Xenopus tropicalis: one gene and its partner. The protein of the gene in region 1 interacts with the protein of each later gene in a biochemical or structural test. Links are inferred from orthologs where the notes say so. Each region holds a gene or a part of one and is shown in the gene's direction. Other genes may lie near its edges. The genes, in order: scn8a and fgf14.

Region 1 (10,733 bases):
GCTGAAGTTTTTATGGGAAAAAACATCCCCTGCTATCTGTCTATAATCACCTTTAATGTAGTTTTACGGAGTAATCATGTCCCCTCACAAGCACCTTTTTTCCAGAGAAAACAACCCAACCCTGACAGTCTAACATAGTTTAAATCTTCCATCCACTCTCTCCAGCTCATTAATATCCTTCTTAAGGACTGGAGCCCAAAACTGCACTGCATACTCAAGGTGAGGCCTTACCAGAGACCTATAAAAGGGCAAAATGATGTTTTCTTCCCTTGAGTCAATGCCCTTTTTTATATAAGACAGCACTTTATATGCCTTTGTAGCCACAGACAACTTGTTATCTACCAAAATCCCCAGATCCTACTCAGTTAAAGATATCCCCAACACACTACCATTTAGAGTATAACCATAGAAAAAAAAGCCACATTCATAAGCCTATGTGATTAAGGGTTCTTCCCAAAATGCATTAGGTTGTCTGCTTCTCAGAAGCAGAAGCAATTCATGTTTTTATATTTAATTGAATAAAAGACTTTTCCCCTTTTTTGGTGCTATAGTAGTGGAGCACTGCATGAATATGGCCAGCACCTATCTCTAGTTTCTTCCCTGGATACCGTGAAAGCATATAGGAAGTGGTGAGTCCGTGCAGAGATATATATATTTTTTTATTGCTTTCTACCAAAGTCCATAACCTTCCACTTATCAACACTGAACCTCAGTTGCCAGTTTGCTGCCCAATTTTCCAATATAGACAAATCTGTATTCAAAGCGGCAGCATCCTGCATGGAACTTATAGTTTTGTACAATTTAGTATCATCAGCAAAACTAGAAACAGTACTTTCTCCAGGTCATTAATTAACAAGTTAAAAGCAAAGCACCAAGGACAGATCCCTGTGGTACTCCACTAACAACATTGGTCCTTTTAGAAAATGTTTCATTTACCATCTGGACCTTTGTTTACCTTTATATGTTCAAGTCTATTTTGAATTTTCTACTGACCAATGTGTCAGTAGCTATATGACTAGAACTGGGTCTAATAAGAGGGCAGTCTTTATTAGCTGGTTCTCCATTTGAATAGACAGATAAAAAATATTTATTTTCCCTGTGCTCATCAACCAACTAACCTCCCTCTGATAATAATGGTTCCACCCATTCTTTCTTAATAAATATTAATAATATTAATTTTTTTTTACTATTTACTTGTACCTGCCAATAAAAATATTGGAGTAGTTGCACAGTACAGTGCCATGTCTAAAGGGACAATATCACCTATGATCAAATAACCGCATTTATCAAACTGTTCCTATTTATTAATGTATTGTAATAAAAATAACATAACCATTACAAATAATCAGGTTCTGGATTTCAAACAACTAACCACTAAGTGGTACCTTCTGATTGGCTGCTATATGTTACTAAACCAAAAGTAAACCAATAGTCTGGCATGGTGCCGAGAAATTGGCAAATTGTTAATGTGGTGCTATTTTTCAAAATAGGTTCCTGCACTCATCCTGAAAACAACTGGCCTGTTAGTCTGACATCATTTGTAGGAAAGCTTTTTGAAGGGGTAATAAGGGACAGGATGCTTGAATACATTGCAAATCACAATACTATGAGTTTGTGCCAGCATTGTTTTATGTGTAATGGATCTTGCCAGACTAATTTAATTGCCTTTTATAAGGAGGAAAGCAGGAACATAGACTCTGGGATTGGAGTGCGTGTGATCTACTTAGATTTTGGTAAAGCATTTGATACAATGCCACACAGGTAACTAATTAAATTAAGGAATACTGGTCTGGAAATAATACTTATACTTGGATAGAGATCTGACTGTAGGCTAAAAAGAGCATTTTCTAATTAGACCAGTGTTGTTAGTGGAATACCACAGGGCTCTCTCCTTGGCCCTTTGCTTTTTAACTTGTTTATTAATGACTTTGAGGTGGGCATTGTAAGAACTGTAAGTACTGAATTTTTGCTGATGGTACTACATTGTGCAAAACTATAAGTTCCATGCAGGATGCTGCCACGTTGCAAAGAGATTTGACTAAATGGAAGAACGGGGCAGTAAACTTTAGTAGAAATAACATACATGCTAGTTACACAACGGTACTGTGTTGAGGGGCCTCCTTAATTAAAAAAAGAATTTTTGTAGAAAGCAAACTTTGTAACTGTAGTCATAGTCACTCAGTGGCATTTAAAGCAAATAGAGTTCTGTCTTGCTTAAAAAAGGGCATTAACTTAAAAGATGGAAACATCATTTTTGCCTTTTTAAAGGAACAGTAACATAAAAAAAACATTTTTTTTTTAAAGTAATTCAAATATAATGTACTATTGCCCTGCAATTGTAAATGTTTTGTGTTTGCTTCAACAAGATTTCTGTAGTTTGTATAAATAAGCTGCTGTGTAGCCACAGGGCAGTCATTTAAGATGGAAAAAGGGAGAAAAGGCACAGGTTAAATAGCAGATAACAAATACGCTCTGCAGAGCTTGTTTGTTACCTGCCATGTAACCTGTGCCTTTTCTCCTTTTCTTTATTTGAATAGCTACCCCCATGGCTACATTATAAATAATAGCAGTCTTTTTGATGAAAACACACAGCTTTTACCTGTACAGGGCAATAGTATATAATATATTAATTACTTTGATACACTTTTATTTTTTGGTGTTACTGTTCCTTTAAAGGTCTCTGGTAAGGCCTTAACTTGAGTATGCCATGCAGTTTTGGGCTTCAGTCCAGAAGAAGGATATTAACTGGAGATAGTACAGAAACATGCAACTAAATTGGCACAAGGGGCTAATTTGGGTGCTGTGTTTTTTTTAGTGGCCGTCCGACATAAACTTTAATGAAAATTGTCTGACAGGTGTTAGTAGCAATTCTGCATTAAGCTGCATTTCTGGGCTACCAAAGATTGCAGTGCCAAAGGGGCCTATAATAGTCCTGTATTCCATTACCCTAAGAAAGGATGTAGCTATAGTATAAGGAAAGTGGTTACTTAGATGAAGTTAGATGCTGGGTCAGTAACTAAAAAGAAAACAAATAAATACAATTTTACAGTTGCCCCTTAATATTTCCATTAGACAAAGCACAGCTGCCCTTGAATAAGAACATAGATGACTTTGTAGTGAAATCCGCAGTCTGAACCTTGTCTTTATTTATGTGAATCCTAGACTGAGGAGGAAAGGGTTCTACATGAATACATTATGCAGCTACCTCTTAATACATGAAATGAAGGGGAACATGATTTACCAAAATCCCATAATTGCTAAAAATACAGAGGCTGTTCAAATAGGTTACACAGAAGTCCAAGGGACTTGGTTTGTAAAGAAAGATATGGTGGCTCCAAACTTAATGTTCTGTTGTTTTTGTGTTGTATCCTAAATGAGCTTGGTTCCCGTATTATTACTGTGTCCACTCCTGGCTTAGGCTTCTACCCATTTACATTTCTTTCACTCCCTCTCTCTTCCAGTTTTTATTTTAAATAAATAAAGAGCTTTAAAGAAAACATTCATGCAGATATTCTTACATGGTATTGCAAATGCAAAGTGTTTCCTCTGTTATCTCCTTGGGATTCCTGATCAACCCAAGTGCTGTGGCACTTTCTCCAGTCACAGGGAGCTAACCTTTTTTTTTTTTTTGTCCACACTACCTACCTGCTGATGCTAACACCTTACTAACCTTAATCCTGGGTTAGGGCTATCTAACTGGTCCCAGCCCAGATGTGGCCATCCAGAATATTTTGTATGGCCTTAGGAGCTCCTAAATCCTTTGGGTGCCATCATTTTATTATAATTTGTCCCCAGCATGTAGTATTACATCATCCCATTATATTAAATTTGACTGCACTGTTATAACAGGATCTAACATCAGTAATATAGTCCAGTCTGTAGAATTCTAAGGTGTCACAAAGGAGAGTAGTGGGAGCATTCCAAGGCTAAGTAAAATAAAAGTCGAGTATAAAGGAAGTGTGATTGATCAGGCCAATTTTATTACAGCCATTTGGTTGTAGCACCCCCCACCCAATCCTTTATTGGTTGTTTTGTGATTTAAAAAAGGGCTTTTGTCTTGGATATTTCTCAGTAAGGAACAGCTTGTAACACCAATACTTTTCAACAAGAGACACTTTTCCTAAGAAATGTAACTCTGCAAGAAGGTTCCAGCCTATAAAAAATATGACTGGAGGGACTACCATATGGAGTTTACCTTGGTATGGTGTGGTGACTTGGTAATTGTTTGATCATCACTTTGTAACTAAAACCCCCACTTTTTTAAATGTATGCTAAATTACTAGAAAAACAGGGGGCCAGAGAATGTCCATTTATTAATTTCTTCTTTTGAATTCTAAAGTCAATAACTGTGCCCTCAGTCCCAGGACTAGTCCATATATACAGGAAAGCCTTTCAGTGATAATGGTATGTTCCAGGCCTATGTGTAAACAATAGGAGCCACAAGGGAGAGAGGTGCCAGACTTTCCATCTAATTACTTTTTAGAAAACCTTACCATGTATCAGTGTGTTGGTATTCGAGAAAAACAAGTTATATCCAATGGCTTGGCTTACTGTCAAGGAATGTTAACTATAACAATTTTCAGGGGCACTATTTATTTGAAGACAGGCCTTGTATACATGTGGGTTTGTAGCCCAGTGATATAGTTGAGATGAACTTAACAGTATCTTGAAGTACATTGATGCTTGGCTGGTGAGTGGCTCAAGGGGCAAAGTGTGCCATGTAAGGTACCAATGGTGAGCCAATACAGCACAAACAGCAGCATTGTGCTACCTGAACTGCATGTCACCCTTTGTCTCCATTGTATTAGGCAGCCCTGCCAGACACTGTGCAGCCCCCAACATTACACACACCCCTATGAACCCAGGCAAGTTTTCCTTGGGGACATTTTGCTGCCTGAAACACGATTTCCCCTTTCCCCTGCCAAGTGACTATGTTTGTTATTGCCCTGACTGGTGAGTGTATGAGGACCGAGTATGGAGCCCAGTGAGGCTCAGCCCGGTAGCAATAGCTGCCAGTGAAGCAGGTCGCCATGCCAATGCCATCCCTTCCGTTACTCTGCTGCAGGACCCAATAACTTGCAGTTACAACGCTGTTTGTTGGCCATTTTTGCGCACCTGGGACATTGCCAAGGACACAAATTCCCCCGGGAAGATAGTAAGACAATTGAGTCTCCTCAGGAATGAGGGTCGGGACTTCCCAGCTCCTCACACGCACAGCACCCCGGCCGTGAGTAACCGAGGCAATTAGGAGGCACGCATGCGCCCCCCGCCGCACTCATAAACTTGTCTCCCCACCGCCACACCGTCCCACCGTCCCACCGCCCGCTTCCTTCCCTGCCTTCCCGCATCTCCGCGGCTCCTCCCACTCACAGTGCGCTCACGTGACCGAGTGATGTCATCAGAGGTCCTTCTCTCCCTGTAGAATGTAGCAGCAGCAGCAGCAGGCAGCATGGCGACGGGCGCAGTTCCTCCTGCTGCAGCCTCCCCACCTCTGCAGTCCGGCGGCGCCTGCGGGGACTCGCTCTAGAGCTGCGGCCAAGTAAGTGCGCGGGTGACAGAAAGCGGCTACAAAGACGCAGTCTGACGCCGAACGTGTGTCCGGGATAGCATTTGCTGCCAGGATTATTGCACAGATTTGAGAGATGGAGTGAATGCTGGTGCCGTGGGCCCGGGATGGGGGGGGGGGTAGGGTTCTGGAGATCCGGCTGCTCCAACGGGTGTTTGCCGCAGAGGCATGTTTGTCCCTCCGCTCCCGGGTGCAGTGGGCTAGGGGGAGCCGTGTCACTAGCCCCACAGTGAGGCAAAGGCAGAGCATGTGCCCGGTCCCCCTATAACTCTTTGCTAGTTGGTTGATGCCTGAGTGGTGCAGGGGCCCCGGGAAGAGATGAATTGGGTTAGGGGACACCAACTTTCGACCTTTCATTAATGCTTACACTACAGCTCCCAGGCTCCTCTGCGAGGCACAGATGCTATTATGTGTAGTTTGAGCAGGAGGGCCGCAGGTTGTGAGTGCCTCATTGCCTTACCTGCGCACGGTGTATGGCCGACCTTTGCTGTATGTACAGTAACAGTGACCCCCTCCTCACCCTCTAACTTACTCCTGGGGCCAATCTGCACGCACTTCTCTCCCCCAGCAGCACAGTGCGGTTCTACACAATCCCAAGGTGTCATCACTTTCCGTCCCAGCCCCTCCCTTGGCTGCTGCCAGCTCTACATTGAAACGTATGGCCAAGGGTTATGGGGCTGCGATCGGCTCTATATACCGTCCTGACTGGGGGTGCCCCCTGCCTACCGTGTCCCACTTTAGGGAATGAGGACCCTTGCACCCCCTCCCCAGTCATGTTCTTAAAGCTGTATCTGAGTTTGGAGGAATGCGGGTGTGGTAGGTGGGTATTTCTGCATGCTCTGCAGTCCGTATTGCTCTGCAAAGGGGATTTATTCATGATATGGAAGGATTACTGTGCCGGGAGGCTGCTTGTACAGTGTAGGGCTCCATTCTGATTCGGCATGTTGGATTGAGCCGGCTCCGCTACACTGCAGCAATTTTTTCCTCTTCAAATGAATCCTATGGCCCTTACGCCCCGCAATGAAAATGCACTGAGGAAGCCCCTCTGCCTTGCCGTATGCAGTATATGATTGCAGGGACGTCCTGTATGCGACCCTACACTTGTTATAAAGGGGGGATGCTGGGGCATGTAGACTTGGAGGGCCGCTGGTTGGTCATCTTGCAGTATTCAGAATTGGACTATTGATATCACTGCGCTAACATCTTGCTGCTTGTAATGTTAAATATCCCAGTTATTTCTCTGCATGTGTGCTAGTGCTTAACTGGGGCTGTCCCGCTCAGCTATGACTCCCAGAAACCTCCAATGTGGGGAGTCTTTTTTTATTTATTTTTAATGTTGCTCTACAGATGGTTAAGGGGCAAAGGATCCCTGGCGCAGAGTTCAAGCCTGATCACCTGTGTTGGTAGTTTACTATACAAAGCTCATTGAAACATGGACTTGGAGCCGGCTTTTTGCGGCTCGTACTATTGCAGGGGTTCTATATTTATTAAACTCTCACCTTTATTTTAGTGCAGAAAGTGCGTTCCTGCCTAGATAGCTACTGTAACGCATGCCGGCCTCGGTTCATGGTGCTGAATGGACAGCTCCATAGGGTTACTGGCATCAGATCTATGTGGCAGCGATCATGGTGCTGAATGGACAGCTCCATAGGGTTTCTGGCCTCAGATCTGTTTTGGAACGATCGTGGTGCTGAATGTACAGCTCCATAGGGTTTCTGGCATCAGATCTGTTTGGTAGCGATCATGGTGCTGAATGGACAGCTCAATAGGGTTACTGGCATCAGATCTATGTGGCAGCGATCATGGTGCTGAATGGACAACTCCATAGGACTGGCATCAGATCTGTTTGGGAGCGATCATGGTGCTGAATGTACAGCTCCATAGGGTTACTGGCATCAGATCTGTTTGGGAGCGATCATGGTGCTGAATGGAAAGCTCAATAGGGTTATTGGCATCAGATCTATGTGGCAGCAATCATGTTACTGGCATCAGATCTATGTGGCAGAGATCATGGGGCTGAATGGACAGCTCCATTGGGTTTCTGGCCTCAGATCTGTTTGGGAGAGATCATGGTGCTGAATGGACAGCTCCATAGGGTTACTGGCTCAGATCCGTTTGGGAGAGATCATGGTGCTGAATGGGCAGCTCCTCATTGCTGCTGTTCGCTCCGCACTGTGCAGTAAGATTAGTCCTTAAACCCGCCTTGCATTATGGTGCTGGGATGCTGGCCTCATTTTGTCCAAATAGATCAGTCATTCTGCCTTCCTTGGGGCTACAGTGCTGAATTGACACTTCTTGATGATGGTTAGGCCCATTTGGAGGATCTGAATATGTTTTACAGCTTCCTTTGAGTTACTAATACAAAATGTTCTATTTGTTGGACTACTCGTTGGATTTATAATGTTTTTTTTTTTTTTTTTAAATCTTGATCCTTTCTAGAGCACAATGTTGAATGTGCAGCTTATGAGGCTTGCTGGGCGCAGGTTGTGGGCTGGACAGATCTGTCCTTATTCCTGCTTTAGATCAAGATGCTGCATTAACAAGTCGTAGGTTGTTGGTTTTATGTTTTCTTTATGAAAACATAAACATGGACAGGTCTTAATAAATGGGGTACTCAAAATGTTTTGATAATTGGTTCCTGTCTTTGCTTTTAAGATCCATGTGACTTATGTGCATCCTTGGTGCTGACTACAAATTATGGATCAGAATATAGAATTCCGCCAAATTGGTTACATATCAATGCAATGTAGGGCCATATCTAGCCCAAGGCCTCAAATGTAATTTTTTTCCTGCCCTGGTTGGCAGAGGGGTAGTATGGAGGTACCTGAGTTGTTAAAATAATTAACAATATCTGATACCTGATTCAGATCACAGTTCTGTATGAAGATCTCCTGATGAGTGCTTTTTCTTTAGTGTGCCTTAGCTCACAGTCCTGAATAAGCAGCTTGTGCACATTGCTTACCCCAGATTGCATTAGTGAATAGATAATTGCTATTTACTTGCCTTTTTTGTAGTGCTAAAAGGGCTGCTCATAATGACTGCTTGACTTAATCATGGTGAATGGCCATAGATCAATCCTGATGCTGACTTTAGAGCATAGTGCTGAATGGGCATCTCCTGAGGCTTATACTATGTTCACACAGTGGCTATTTGTTTATCTAGCAATATACCTCTCTTATAAAAATAACAAAACACATACATTTCATTCAGTTCTTTTACCTATTCTTTGTATACTTTATGAATCAGACCTCTTTTGGTGATTGCTCGGGCCACACTGTAGAGTGAGATATATTATGCTAATCCTTGCCTCAGATGAATGGGTTTGAGAGTACAGTTCCTTTAGTTTGCTGACCTCAAATTTTTGGTTCTTAGTAGACCAGTCCGATACGGGTTAAGATCATAGATGGACATAATAGATGATTTATGATTTACTGCTGAGTAAACATATCCCAGAGTGCAGGATAGATAAATCCTGTCAAATAGTTTAGCCTAATCTCAAATTGTAGTGAATAGATTATTTCTGTTTATTTGCCATGGATTATGGATTTATAATGTGTATTGCCAGGTTCAGATAGGGGTGTAGAGCTCCAGATGTTTTCTTGCCTCATACTGTAAATTCAATTAGTGATAGCCACCTGCCTAAATTCATGGTACTGCCACTGTTATGTACTATATTCCAGCCTTCTAAATCTTATCAAGAGATATGGTAGCAAAATCAAGTAAAAATAAAATGATCCATAATAATTACTTTACTTTTCAGTACTGATTTATGTTTGAGAGGTATATTTTAGAGAAAGGTATTTTACAATTCCTATATAATGCGTAGTTTTCCAGAATGGCTAAGCAACTACATTAGCCATGCAGTAGCCATCAGTAGTAATCCTGAGTCAATCTATTTAGTTCCATTACATGACAATTAATTGCATTCCCACGTAAATCCATGGTTCTCCCACTATTGCTTTTTGCAAACGTGTGCCTTCATATGAGAATGGTTTATATAAAGGTAGTACAGACGCACACCTTTCAGTGCATTTCAGGTGATACAGGTTGAGCAATTAGAATTTCAGTATGGCGTGTCTTGTAGTTTTGTGCAATAAAGTGATAGGCCAGTGCTTAAAAACAAGCCAATGGCTTAAATAAGAATTTAAAGTTCTTTGAAAAAGGTCTAGAGCTTGTCCTCAACAATTTTTATTCTTTCTGGTATTTAAGTGAAATTAAATGTATTTAAAGTCACAGTGGGACTTATTTTACATTTCATGGAGAGCCCTACACCTTGACACTAAGGGTATAAGTTTAAGGTTAAGATATCACCCTTAGTGCCAAATTGGGATTCAATCCATTATCCAGAAAGCTGTGAATTACAGACAGGCCATCTCTAATCCTTTTTTTTTTAATGATTTCATTTTTCTCTGTAATGATAAAACAGTACCTTGTACTTGATGGTAATTAAGCTCCATATTGGCTACAAAACAATCCTAATGGGTTTATTTAATGTTTAAATAGTTTTAAACAGGCCCTAAACATTCCAAATAATGGGTCTCATACCTATGTGTGTAAACCTTAATCTCACCTCTGAAATCCTCCACTATTTTTTTTTCAGAGTTTGACTTGGTGCACTGGCATAACATCTGACACAAGCACTTTTGAGGCTATACTGTGCGACTGTGTCCTACTGTAGTACTGTATACATGTTGTTATACAGTATATAAAATTAAAACAAAGTTCCTATCAGTCTTATTGGACTTGCCCTTGAAACATAAAATAAAGGGTGTGCTATGGTGGCGGTTTGGATACAGGTTTTGTAATTTGCCACTAGAAAAACATTATTGTTGGTATACACCGAGGTCTTTATTATGATATGAATAAACAATGTGTAATGGTTGCCCCTATCTTGCATTGTGCGCCCATTTTGATAGAACAACATTTAGGTCAGAAGCCTGAAAGCTCTAATTTGATGTAACTTTAGACCAGTGTTAATCTTGGCCTGCCTGTGTCCCTCCATATGTTGGTGAATTGCAACTCCCATTTGATGGCCTTTGAGTTGCTCCTCATCATCTGGAGGGTCACTTTTATTTTTTATTTATTTTTTGATATTGAAGCTGAAAATGTAGTTTCAGGTGTTCTTGCTAAACATATTTTAGTCTCACACCAGCAAATTGTCGCAGGT
Region 2 (10,549 bases), about 23 Mb from region 1:
ATGACAAGCGTTATCACACACAGTTTTTTTTTCTTCTTCAGCCTTAGAATCCAACTCCCACATACAGACCATTATGTAAGTGAAATTAGGAAGGAAGCTGGGAAGTAGTGCATAATTTACCACAGTGCTCATGTTAATATAAAATGCTATCCAAGTAGAAAATAACACCATAACACTCAGAACAGGTAGATAACATAGCAACTTGTCAAATTAATCATTTCCTGAAGTAATTTAACTCTCACTGAGCCAAAATGAAGCCAATTGTGTTCATTAGTAACTGATATCTAGCCCCTTCTTTTTTCACTGGTTACAGAGCCCCTTGATAGCCCTAAAGTGCTGGCATCCTAGCAAATGTCTTCTATATCTGTGATGCCTAGGTCTTGTAAGGTCAACCATTCTTAATTATTAGGTTTTAGCTGGCACGATACACCCGACTGCACAACATGCTCTTACACAGTCCTCAGTTGTTTCTCTCACCACTAGCTCATAATTCTTATTGGAACATATCACTCCTACTTACCCTATATTCTAAATCCACAAACTCTCCAGCTATTTCATGTTCTCTGTTTTTCTGCCTAGCAACTGGCCATAAGTTCTGCCCAGGGCAAAAACAAGGACAGTGCTAAAGAGGTTGCTATCCACCTTTATACACATGTTCAGCAATTCTTACATTCCTTGAGGGGAAAAAAAAATAAAAAACAATAAAATATATATCACATTTGGGCATAATAGAAAGAATTATGTTTCTATGCTTGTATATTGCTTGCTTTATATGCAATTTTATATGCATGAACTCTCCATGGCAGAATGTTTCTGCTATCAGCTTATAATGCAGATTTCTGTTTAACAGCTTTGCCTTACCAATAACAATTCTTACACAGATGGAGTTCCTGTTACATAACCTTTTAAAACACAGAGATGGCGCATATCTGACAAAATGCAACATGTGCTGATTTGGGTACTATATTATTTCAAGAACAGCAATGGCATTTTGACATACAAGCAACTGTAATTAATTTGATTATTGTTCTTAAAAGTATAATTATTATTTGAAATATTTTATTCCGTGATGCTGGTTATTCTTCCTGGCTTACCATTCCTCTCTTAATGGGTAGTGCAAGTAAATGGGCATTATTTACCCATAATAGTCTTCTTCAAGGAGACCTTCTGCACATTCTGTTCAAGGATGTGAGGTATCCTAATGCTTTTTAACATTTAGTAGATTTAGCATGTAAACCTATTAATTATATGACTACCCTCATTTTAAAATTATAGTAGTATATCAACAGGAAATTAGCAATTATATGTAAGTATTTAGCTTCAAAAAAATCCAATATGCTGTTAATTTCTTTACGCTTGTGCACTCTGAAATAAATATGCCATTTATGTAGTTGTTGTAGTATACATTAAAACAGCAGATGGCTCTCTTGAGTTTCCTTTGAAAAATAATAGCGTTTACCAGAATCACAAACTGTAGAAGCAAAAATGTAAATCTAACCATCCAGTTTTAATTCCAAGCCTTTATTTGCAACAGTTACAGAAATAGGTGATTCCATTTTGCAGCAGTGTGTGTGTGTGTGTGTGTGTGTACGTACACTAATATACACAAACACATTTGTTAATCAAAGCTATATTTAATTCAATCCCATAGATTAAGAAGGTAGGACTCTTTATATAATTTCTTATGTGTTCATGGCAGTTAAATGTAATTAACATCTGCAGTGTTTGAAACTGGGGTTAAGTGCAAATCTGTCTAAATGAACTGTCCTTGGTGCTGAATGGGTTTAAGGCTTCAAATATGCAGAATATTCTTCAAACACCCTAAGGTATTGACACTGTCTTCAACTAGGAATACAGAACAGGATTCATTAAATTGTACTGTTAATCTCCAGATTTACGGTCATTTTGTAAGCATGCAATTTAAAATAGATTATGATGTGTCAAGCCAACTGGTTTTAAAAATGAAAAATCTAGGGAAACAAGCTCTAATTGAGCACAGCTCCCAGCCCTCCATTAGGGCAGCTATTCTCTATAAGATCTTTTACATTTAGCCAGGCTGCTCTACTTTCCCCTGATCCTAAATCATTATTAAAATCTATTCAGCCCAGCAGTGCTTTGTACACACAAATTCCACCTGAAAGGGAGTTGACTGGCTTGGAAATAATCAATAATGTCTTCTTTATGTGGCTTTGTGAACCTAACAGGATGGAGCTTTTGAGTGCTTACAGATGAAAGGGGAAAAGTTTTGTATTTGATTTTGGAGTTTTGGCATTTGTTTACATTTGACAATTCAACCTGTGTGCTGTGTGGGAGAACTCGGAGTGCACAAGATATTCACACAGTAGGTGTTTATTTCACAGCACTCCAAGCTACTCCTTTTTATCACTCTGTTTATCATTTGTATCCATCCAAGCAGAAAGCTGGCTTTTTTCATTTGTTCGACTAAGCTTCCTCTCTTTGCTATGGCACCTCAGTTAGTCACACGTTTTTCACAGTGAAACATGTAAATAGGACAAGAAAAGCAAAGGAGAAAACTCTTCTTCTGAAACTGTATCCAGACTGATGAAGAGCTGTTAGAGCAAAAATGTTTGTGTCGGTCATTTTTCATATTTATGCTCTCAAAGCAAACCCCATTGTGTGTGTGGCAGTGTTCGATAGAGATGTCTAAGAATGTCACTCCTGTGAATTTGATTTGCTAAAGCTGCTAGGGATGATCTGTCTGTAGCTGTCAGATGCTTCCTCTGTTTTTACCTTTTCTTTAAAACAAGCTAGTCTTCTCTTTGTTATGCATGAGTTTTTTGCCAGTGGCATCCTCACACGGTATCATTCTAATGCTGTGTTGATGTCTTTCAGCTTAGTGCCGTGCATCCTGTGCTGCACATATTTCTCACATCGGCACATTGTCAGCACAAAGAGAGTGACTATCTCTAATACACCAGGAGGGCTAAACTGATAACTTTTATATGGTCAGTGCTTTTAGCAATTCAATACATAGGAGGCAGTTTGTTTGCTGGAAGAATTAGCTTACCTATTTTTCGGCAAGATGTAAAAGCAATCCAGCCAGAAGATTGCAGTTAAGCATGCTTAATTTCTAGGGAGAGAGGCATTACAATCAAGGACACCAACTGAGCAAGAGGCTTGGATCTGCTAGAAACTAGCAATTTCTCAAGAAAATTGCACAAAGCTGTGTTGCTTTTTCATTCCTGCTATTTTTTTTAAGGGGTGGAGAGAAGGGGGGGAGAAATGATTTGATTAGAGAATGAGCAGGAAAGAAGATTGCCTCCTGATGCTGATTTCACATGCAGTGCTTCTTGGTGCCTGAAATCAGAGAGGATCGCGAAGCATGGTCTTGCGGAGATACACAGAGGCAGCAGTTCAAGGCTGTTGATTCAGATGCTTAAGCCTTCGTTTACCTGCTACCCATTGCCATGCTAATTCAAAAGGGAAGCCTGCCTCCCCATTCTTTCCTCCTCCTCCTCTTATTCCTTCCTCCTCTCTTTAACCATCTTCTTCATCCTGCTTTTTCAGCTCACTTGAAATAGGGAAGCAGGCATTGTCTGGTGTGTGGGTGGCACTGAGGAGACCAGCTAAGCCCACCCCCATCTCTCTGAGCTTTGCACTACCAACAAGCATAGATGCCAGTTTCTTCAGCGGAAGAGGTGAGAGAAAGCTGCTAACGAAGTTCTGTTTGGAACATACCAATATTTTTGCTTTATTCCTATTATTTAAATATATGTATGTATAAATACATATACATACATATACTGTACTTTTGCTCAACTTGTATATTTACTTCTCCTTCTAAAGGAAAGTAACTCTGGGTTGGCACAGTTTCTTTTCTCCCACTTCACCACTGGTTGTATAAAGTGATCTGACAAAGGGAGCAGAGAGATGTCCAGCTGTCTTCAGAGGGGCTGAGCCCCTTTTTTTTTTGCTCTTTGTAGCTCCAACAGACTGATCATCTGGGTTCTATCTAAAAACTTGGTGGGGTGTCCCACCACGACTTTCTGCTAGCCCCTCCCTCTCGGAGCTTCCCAGCCCGATAAGCGTGTACGGGAGGTGGCATGGCAGCAGCTATCGCAAGTGGACTGATCCGACAAAAGCGACAGGCACGGGAGCAGCACTTGGACCGTCCCTCCGCTAGCAAGAGGCGCAGCAGCCCTAGTAAAAATCGAGGCCTTTGTAATGGGAACCTGGTGGATATTTTCTCCAAAGTGCGAATCTTTGGCCTCAGAAAAAGAAGGCTGAGACGGCAAGGTCGGTTGGTCTGTGTCTGTCAGCTGTTTTCATGATTACATTATGTTTTTTCCTTCTCTTGGATTCTGTGCACCCAATGGCAGAATGTGTGCGCTCATCCTTCTTAATCCGTAGTGTGTCTCTTTACCCTTTGTTGTGTAGTTCTGTTTATATCCTGATGTATATTTCTGTAATATGTTTCAACACAAAATCCATTTTCCACTGATCAATGTGATGGGTTGTTGTTGTCCGTCTTTCCAACTTAATTGCAAATCTAGTATTCGTGAAGATTAATTTTATACTGTAAATCAGCCTTTTAGCCTGTATTAGATTACACATCCAGTGCCAGGGTTATTGGCACTAAAGTCTAAAGAACTAGCAAGCAGTTTATGACTTGCATTGTAGTATTTAACTTTCTGTCTATGTGCATTCATTTGTGGCTCGCTCATTTACTTCAGTCAGGTCCCCAAAATGTATGTTTGTTTATCTTTGTTTCTCTTGATTCAGTCTGATGGGGTTGGGGGCAGGAGTTAAATAAAATATCTTATACAATAACTTGTTAATAAAACAGTAGAACAGAAGAGAAGGCATATAATTTGACTTTAATTCCAGACTAACTATATTAGTAGCTATGAAACGTATGTATATACCTGATATACATTTATATACAGTTTGCATAACAAGTCTTTATATGTCACAATTTATGAAACTTTATAGCACTTCATGAGAACCACTCATTCAGTGAACTGCTGTAGCATTTAAGACTCTGTATAACAATTACAGTGACAAACCTGTGGAAGTACAGTGTCTGTACCTGTATTAATGTTAGACAGCTGTATTAATGAATATGAATGAGCTTTATCAGGACCACTGTGTTCTGACTTACTCCACAGGAGTTCTGATTTTCAGTCGTGAACAGCTCTGATAAATGCATACATTAAACGCACAGTATACCAAAGAGGATCTGTACAATAAGCCCCTTACAAGTAGGTTCAGGTAAATATTGAATTAGGTTTTTCACTCAATAATCCTTTTTTTTTTTTTAAATAATTAAAAGCACCAGCTTTCACTTTGACATTTAAGAGTTAAAGCAGGTTTAGATGCATAAATCTTTTAAATTACTAATGTAAAGAATCATTAACCATGAGATTAAACAAATAATAAATTGTTCATCCTTGCTTAATTTATGACTATCCCCAACGTAGGAGTGAAGCCATTTGGAAATATTGTGAAAAAAGGACTGTTTCATGTGTCTGATTCACAAGAAATGCTCACAGTAGGGTTGGTAGGGATACTTAACCCCATCACTGACATCTTCTGTATGTCTCATAAAAAAATTAATTATTTCCAGCTGAAAAACCTGCAGTACATCTAAAAAATACAGCACCTAATCTTAGACAAGGTTAACAGGTTGCATTTACCGAGAACCATTTATGGTGTGAAGATCTTCTAGTCTAAAGTATATTTTTCATAGCATACTCCGCTTTTGTACTGTAGTTTTAGTATTTCAAAATAATGTACTGTTTTCTTGTGTGCAATGATATATGTTTATCATTATCATAAATATTTTTTTGTAAAGGACACCTAGAAAATATATGGTACTACAGATAACACTACATCCAAATATGTTAATGTATTGTAAGCCAAGGTTATTTAGGATTTTCTTTGGTGCCTGATGTAATAAAAGAATTACAGGTGTGCTAATAAGATAAAACAAATGGTAGCAGTCAGGGAATATATATAAGCCATAATTATATGCTGGATCACACTCAAGAAATGATCCTGTTACCCTAGAGACTTGTAGGCAGCACCAATGAGTTGCCCATGTTTATGGGTTACTGTGGATTCTTTTTTCCTTATAGCTTTGGGGGAAAAGCAGAACATGGAGTTTATTAAATCTAGTACAGCTCTACAAAGTTAATAAATCTCCTCTAACTAATGCTTTCATTTTAAGAGGCACAAAGTATGAAGAATTATCCTGTGAAAGATTTGACAGGTTTGATTGTATCTGCTGATGTGTATAAAATAAGCTTAGAAGTGTGGAGATCTTGTTACCTGGAGTATGGCACGGGATGAGCCTTCAGTCCTGCCATTCATTTTACTCTGCTATATGCTATGTTTGCATAAATGGAAATCACCTAGTTTGGATTTATTCTTAATGCTGGTGTCAACAGTGAGGAAGAGAAAGGTGATGCACAGTAAACCGTGCCAGTGCATATTTGCACCAAGGGTGTATGTTTATTCATGATTTTTTCCCTTATTCCTTATTGATGTAGGATTAATCTTACCTTCCTTTGTAAATATCTGTGTCAGGAATACAAAGCTGTATGTGTTTACCTTAAAAAAAAAATACACAAATAAAAGCACCATTATAAGAAATTGATCTTTGTACTGTTACTGATGGTAGAAGAAGGAACATGGAAGCAGGTCATTATGACCTAAATACAACTTTGCAGATTTTGTATGAGATATTTCATGGCCACTTACCTATAAGGAGAAAGCGTGTATAGGTCTTGGGTTAAACTTTCAGCATTTGTTTCTGAATTACAACATCCAGCCTAGGTCAGAGCATGCTGGGAAATGTAGTTCACAATCATTTTAGGTGAGTGACATACCTACTTTTATCATTACTGTCTTTAATAGACTGGGTCAGACATACAACTGCACACTGGTAGCCATATCGCTGCTACAGGTGTCCTCCTTCTTTGGTTTCTAATGTTCCTCTTGGTGCGCAGTTATTATAGATACATTACTAAGCCTAGCAGACCCTACAGAATATAGGGTTGTACAGAAAAATAACAGTGTGCTTATTTAAACTGAGTGTTATAGGTATTATGACTTGTTAACAGCTCTTAATGAAAGGCCGGTAATAATCAGTGTCATTTGCAGTGAAAAGAAATATCCATTGGCTGCCATATACACCCAGTAGTCTGCAGTGTACACCCAGTAGTTTGTATTTTTCATTGATGTTGAATGTGAATTTTGCAACATGATAACTGCAAATTTCTGGCTGTTATTATATATATTTAGGCTGAAAACCTCCTCACAGACCACTGTTTAAAGTAAATGTACTTAAGAAAGACCTGGGTAAAAAATAAAGACAAATAATAAAAGGATTATAATGAGAAAGCTGAGTTCCAAAATGCGATTATTGGCATTGTTATTTATTTACTTCTTGGGACCATTCTAACAGCCAAACATTTGATTCTCTCCTTTTTAGCCTCATTAATAATACACATTCTCCACCAACCCTCAGTCTACTATTATTATAGCCCTGCTGCCTTACTTGACATTTTCAATAAAAAAAATAAAACAGTAGTAATTTGAAAGTTAACAAAGTATTTACTGTTTTACAGTGGCACATCTAGGGCTGCTACCTGAGGCACCAGCGCCGTTACCACCTCCCGCCCCCCACCCCATTCTGCGCTTACTGCGTCTACCACTTACCTTGCTATTGCGCTCTCTGCACTTAGATACAAATTATCATTTTGAAACTTGAAAATGTAGCTCTTAAAGTTACCAGACGTGGCTTTTTTCTGCCCCATGTAACTGCCCCCTCATTGCCAAATGACAGGAGTTTGCTTTGTACAAACATCATTTAATGGAAGACTTGCCCTTTGGGTTACTAGTCATAACTACACCTGAGATTCTCCTGCTCGTAAAGCCACAACACAAGAATCACTGAAGCTTACCTGTTACACCATGAGCAGCATAGGCAGTTCTTAATTCTCACTCGCAGGCACTCCAAGCTATATACACATATAATATTTGCATGTAAGATTGTTTTAATCTATTATACTGATCCATGTTTCAGTACTCATGCAGCTATAGGCATACACCTGTTATAGTAAAATTCTGACTTACTGGAACTAAAAATTACTACATGGCCACTAAGTGCCTATCTCTGGTTTAGGGACATGAATATTAATGAAAATAAATAGTATTCAGAGACTATAATGTAGGCCAGATATGTTAACATGAAGCGATCTGTGATCTGCAATTTCCAGCTTCCAATTGGAAGGTGCATCTGTAAGCAGTTTATTGGAAATGTGGGTGATGTTGGTTGGCTTATTCAGGCTAGATAACTCATACATTTTCAGCAGATCCATAACCTAAAACCCCTGCTTCATGAAAAGTGAGTCAATCAAATAACTGAAATAGACTGACTGATTCACATGTGTTCAAACAGTGATATCCTTAAGCCATGGAATTATTTACAGGAAGCTGTGATAAAGTGATTCTCAGGGAACATGCTGTTATTGCACTGAGCAAAAACATCAGAAACTTTTAGAAAAAAATCCACCCCTTTGTAACTGAATTTTTAAATGTGCTCATAAACATATCTGCTCAATAGTAAAGCACTTATCAAAGAAACCCATTGCCAGGACATTTGTTGTCAAGTGTAAAAATAAAAAAAAAAATCGATAAAATTAGAAATTCAGATGACTCTATGGAAATGTTTCTATTGAAGGTATACTTCAGCTTGCACTACAGCTGGCCATTGTACGCTATATCTGTCATTATCCCCCAAAGCCTATTGAAGGATCCAGTGGAAACTGATTTGAAGCACCACCGACATCTAGGTTAAGAACCCTCCTACCTACTATTTGCGATTGTACTGATTAATATTTAAATCTAGTATGTAACAATAAATATTTATTCTGTGACTCCACTCATCATTTCATACACATATCTGTGACAAAAACATGTGTATGTAGGTAGGTAAATATGTGTATATCTGTGTACTGTATACAGCCATAAATATCCTGATATGTTATAATATGTGTTAAGTCATTTGTGTCACAACTCACTCATATTTGTTTAAAAAAATTAATGTAACACAATGTAAATGTTGCAAAATATGTCTGGAGTTCTGTGACATGAATACAATCACTTAGCCTGTGACATTGTGCCTTAATATGGTCATGGGACTTATCAGATTTCTAATTTGCTTTTATTTAGAATTGGGGTAACATTATACTCTATATATTATTTTCTAGTTGAGCTTTGTCTGGGAAATTTAATAATACATAACTAAAATAACAGAAAAAGCACTCTGCATTGTAAGGAATTTTTGCTGTAATAAAACTGATAAATCATTTCCAACAACTTATTTACCACACAAAGTCAACTAGTTTCTAGGGTAATGCTGGCACCCTCATGTGCGAGAATAATGGTGCAATTTTACAGCATTAAATATGGCTACTGGACTTCGTAAAAATGGGTTGCCACCTGCTAGGGCCAGGGCCAGTATTACAAAAGTATCAGTAATTACAGTGTTACATTGGTAATTCCCCCTATTTCCCAAGTTTTTCCCCCTGCAGCACTTACTTTTAACCACAAAGACCCTCTGTATGACCAGAAACTCCCCATGGACCCAACATGCACATTTGCTGCTCCCGACAAGCCCATTTTCTGTCGTAAAAGGAGCACCAGCCTAGGGAAAAAACATAGCGACTGGATTCACTGGGGGTGCCAAAATGTTGAATCCACATTTTCTTGTCCATTAAGTACTGGGCTCCCCTACATCTTATCCCATACTGTGCAGAACATTTTCCCAGGTTTAAATGCTGAGTACATGAGCCCTCAGGCTCACAATTTGGTGTGGTCTGTTGGTATATCCCTGTATGTATCATATGTAACAGAAATATAATAATAATATATTACATTATATGTTTATTAATCCCCCTATAAGCCCTTCATACATTATTATTTCTTCATAATTAACCCTGCCCACATAAGCCAACACTGAATCAAAGATATGCAGGCAATATTTTCAATAACTTGATGGAATATATTGAGAAACAGTCACTGTATGTGTCATTTAAATTGGGGTTGATATGAATATTGTATTGTCATGTCCACATTGCCTCCTATTCTCCTTATTCCTGTATTGTATATAAGTGATGCAGCTACTGTAAATAAATGTAGTATACAGTATATCATTTTAAAAACCATCATTCTTTAAATGTGGATTTCATTTAATCTACATGAGATTTATTGAGTAAAAGTTCTGATCTCAGTCAGATACAATTTTTTTAATATTCCAAGAAACAAATACTTGAATATCTCCTAGTATATGGAAGAATGATGCATCTGCAGCTAAATTTTACCTCCCAGTATTATAATGCTACTGGGCTTTTTACTCTATGTGTACCTTGCTTATCACTGTAGCGATGAAATAGCTTTTCCATTGCAGGGCCTTCTTTACATAAATCCTGTATTAGAAGACACCTTTTTTTCTTTAAATTGCATCTGACCTCTTGGCATCCTTGATATAAAGTTATGGGAACCAAAAATCAATACTACAATA

The links.
Region 2: the proteins of scn8a (region 1) and fgf14 form a complex in vitro, tested with the Homo sapiens proteins (2 studies listed by BioGRID). The link is inferred for Xenopus tropicalis from reciprocal best matches to the Homo sapiens genes SCN8A and FGF14.

The regions. Positions count from the first base shown.
Region 1 is NC_030678.2:143,164,967-143,175,699, reverse strand, and holds the start of scn8a (sodium channel, voltage gated, type VIII alpha subunit), read left to right. Parts: upstream 1-5,318; 5' UTR 5,319-5,539; intron 5,540-10,733. UniProt on the Homo sapiens protein: Pore-forming subunit of a voltage-gated sodium channel complex assuming opened or closed conformations in response to the voltage difference across membranes and through which sodium ions selectively pass along their electrochemical gradient.
Region 2 is NC_030678.2:119,963,462-119,974,010, forward strand, and holds the start of fgf14 (fibroblast growth factor 14), read left to right. Parts: upstream 1-4,064; coding exon 4,065-4,257; intron 4,258-10,549. UniProt on the Homo sapiens protein: Probably involved in nervous system development and function.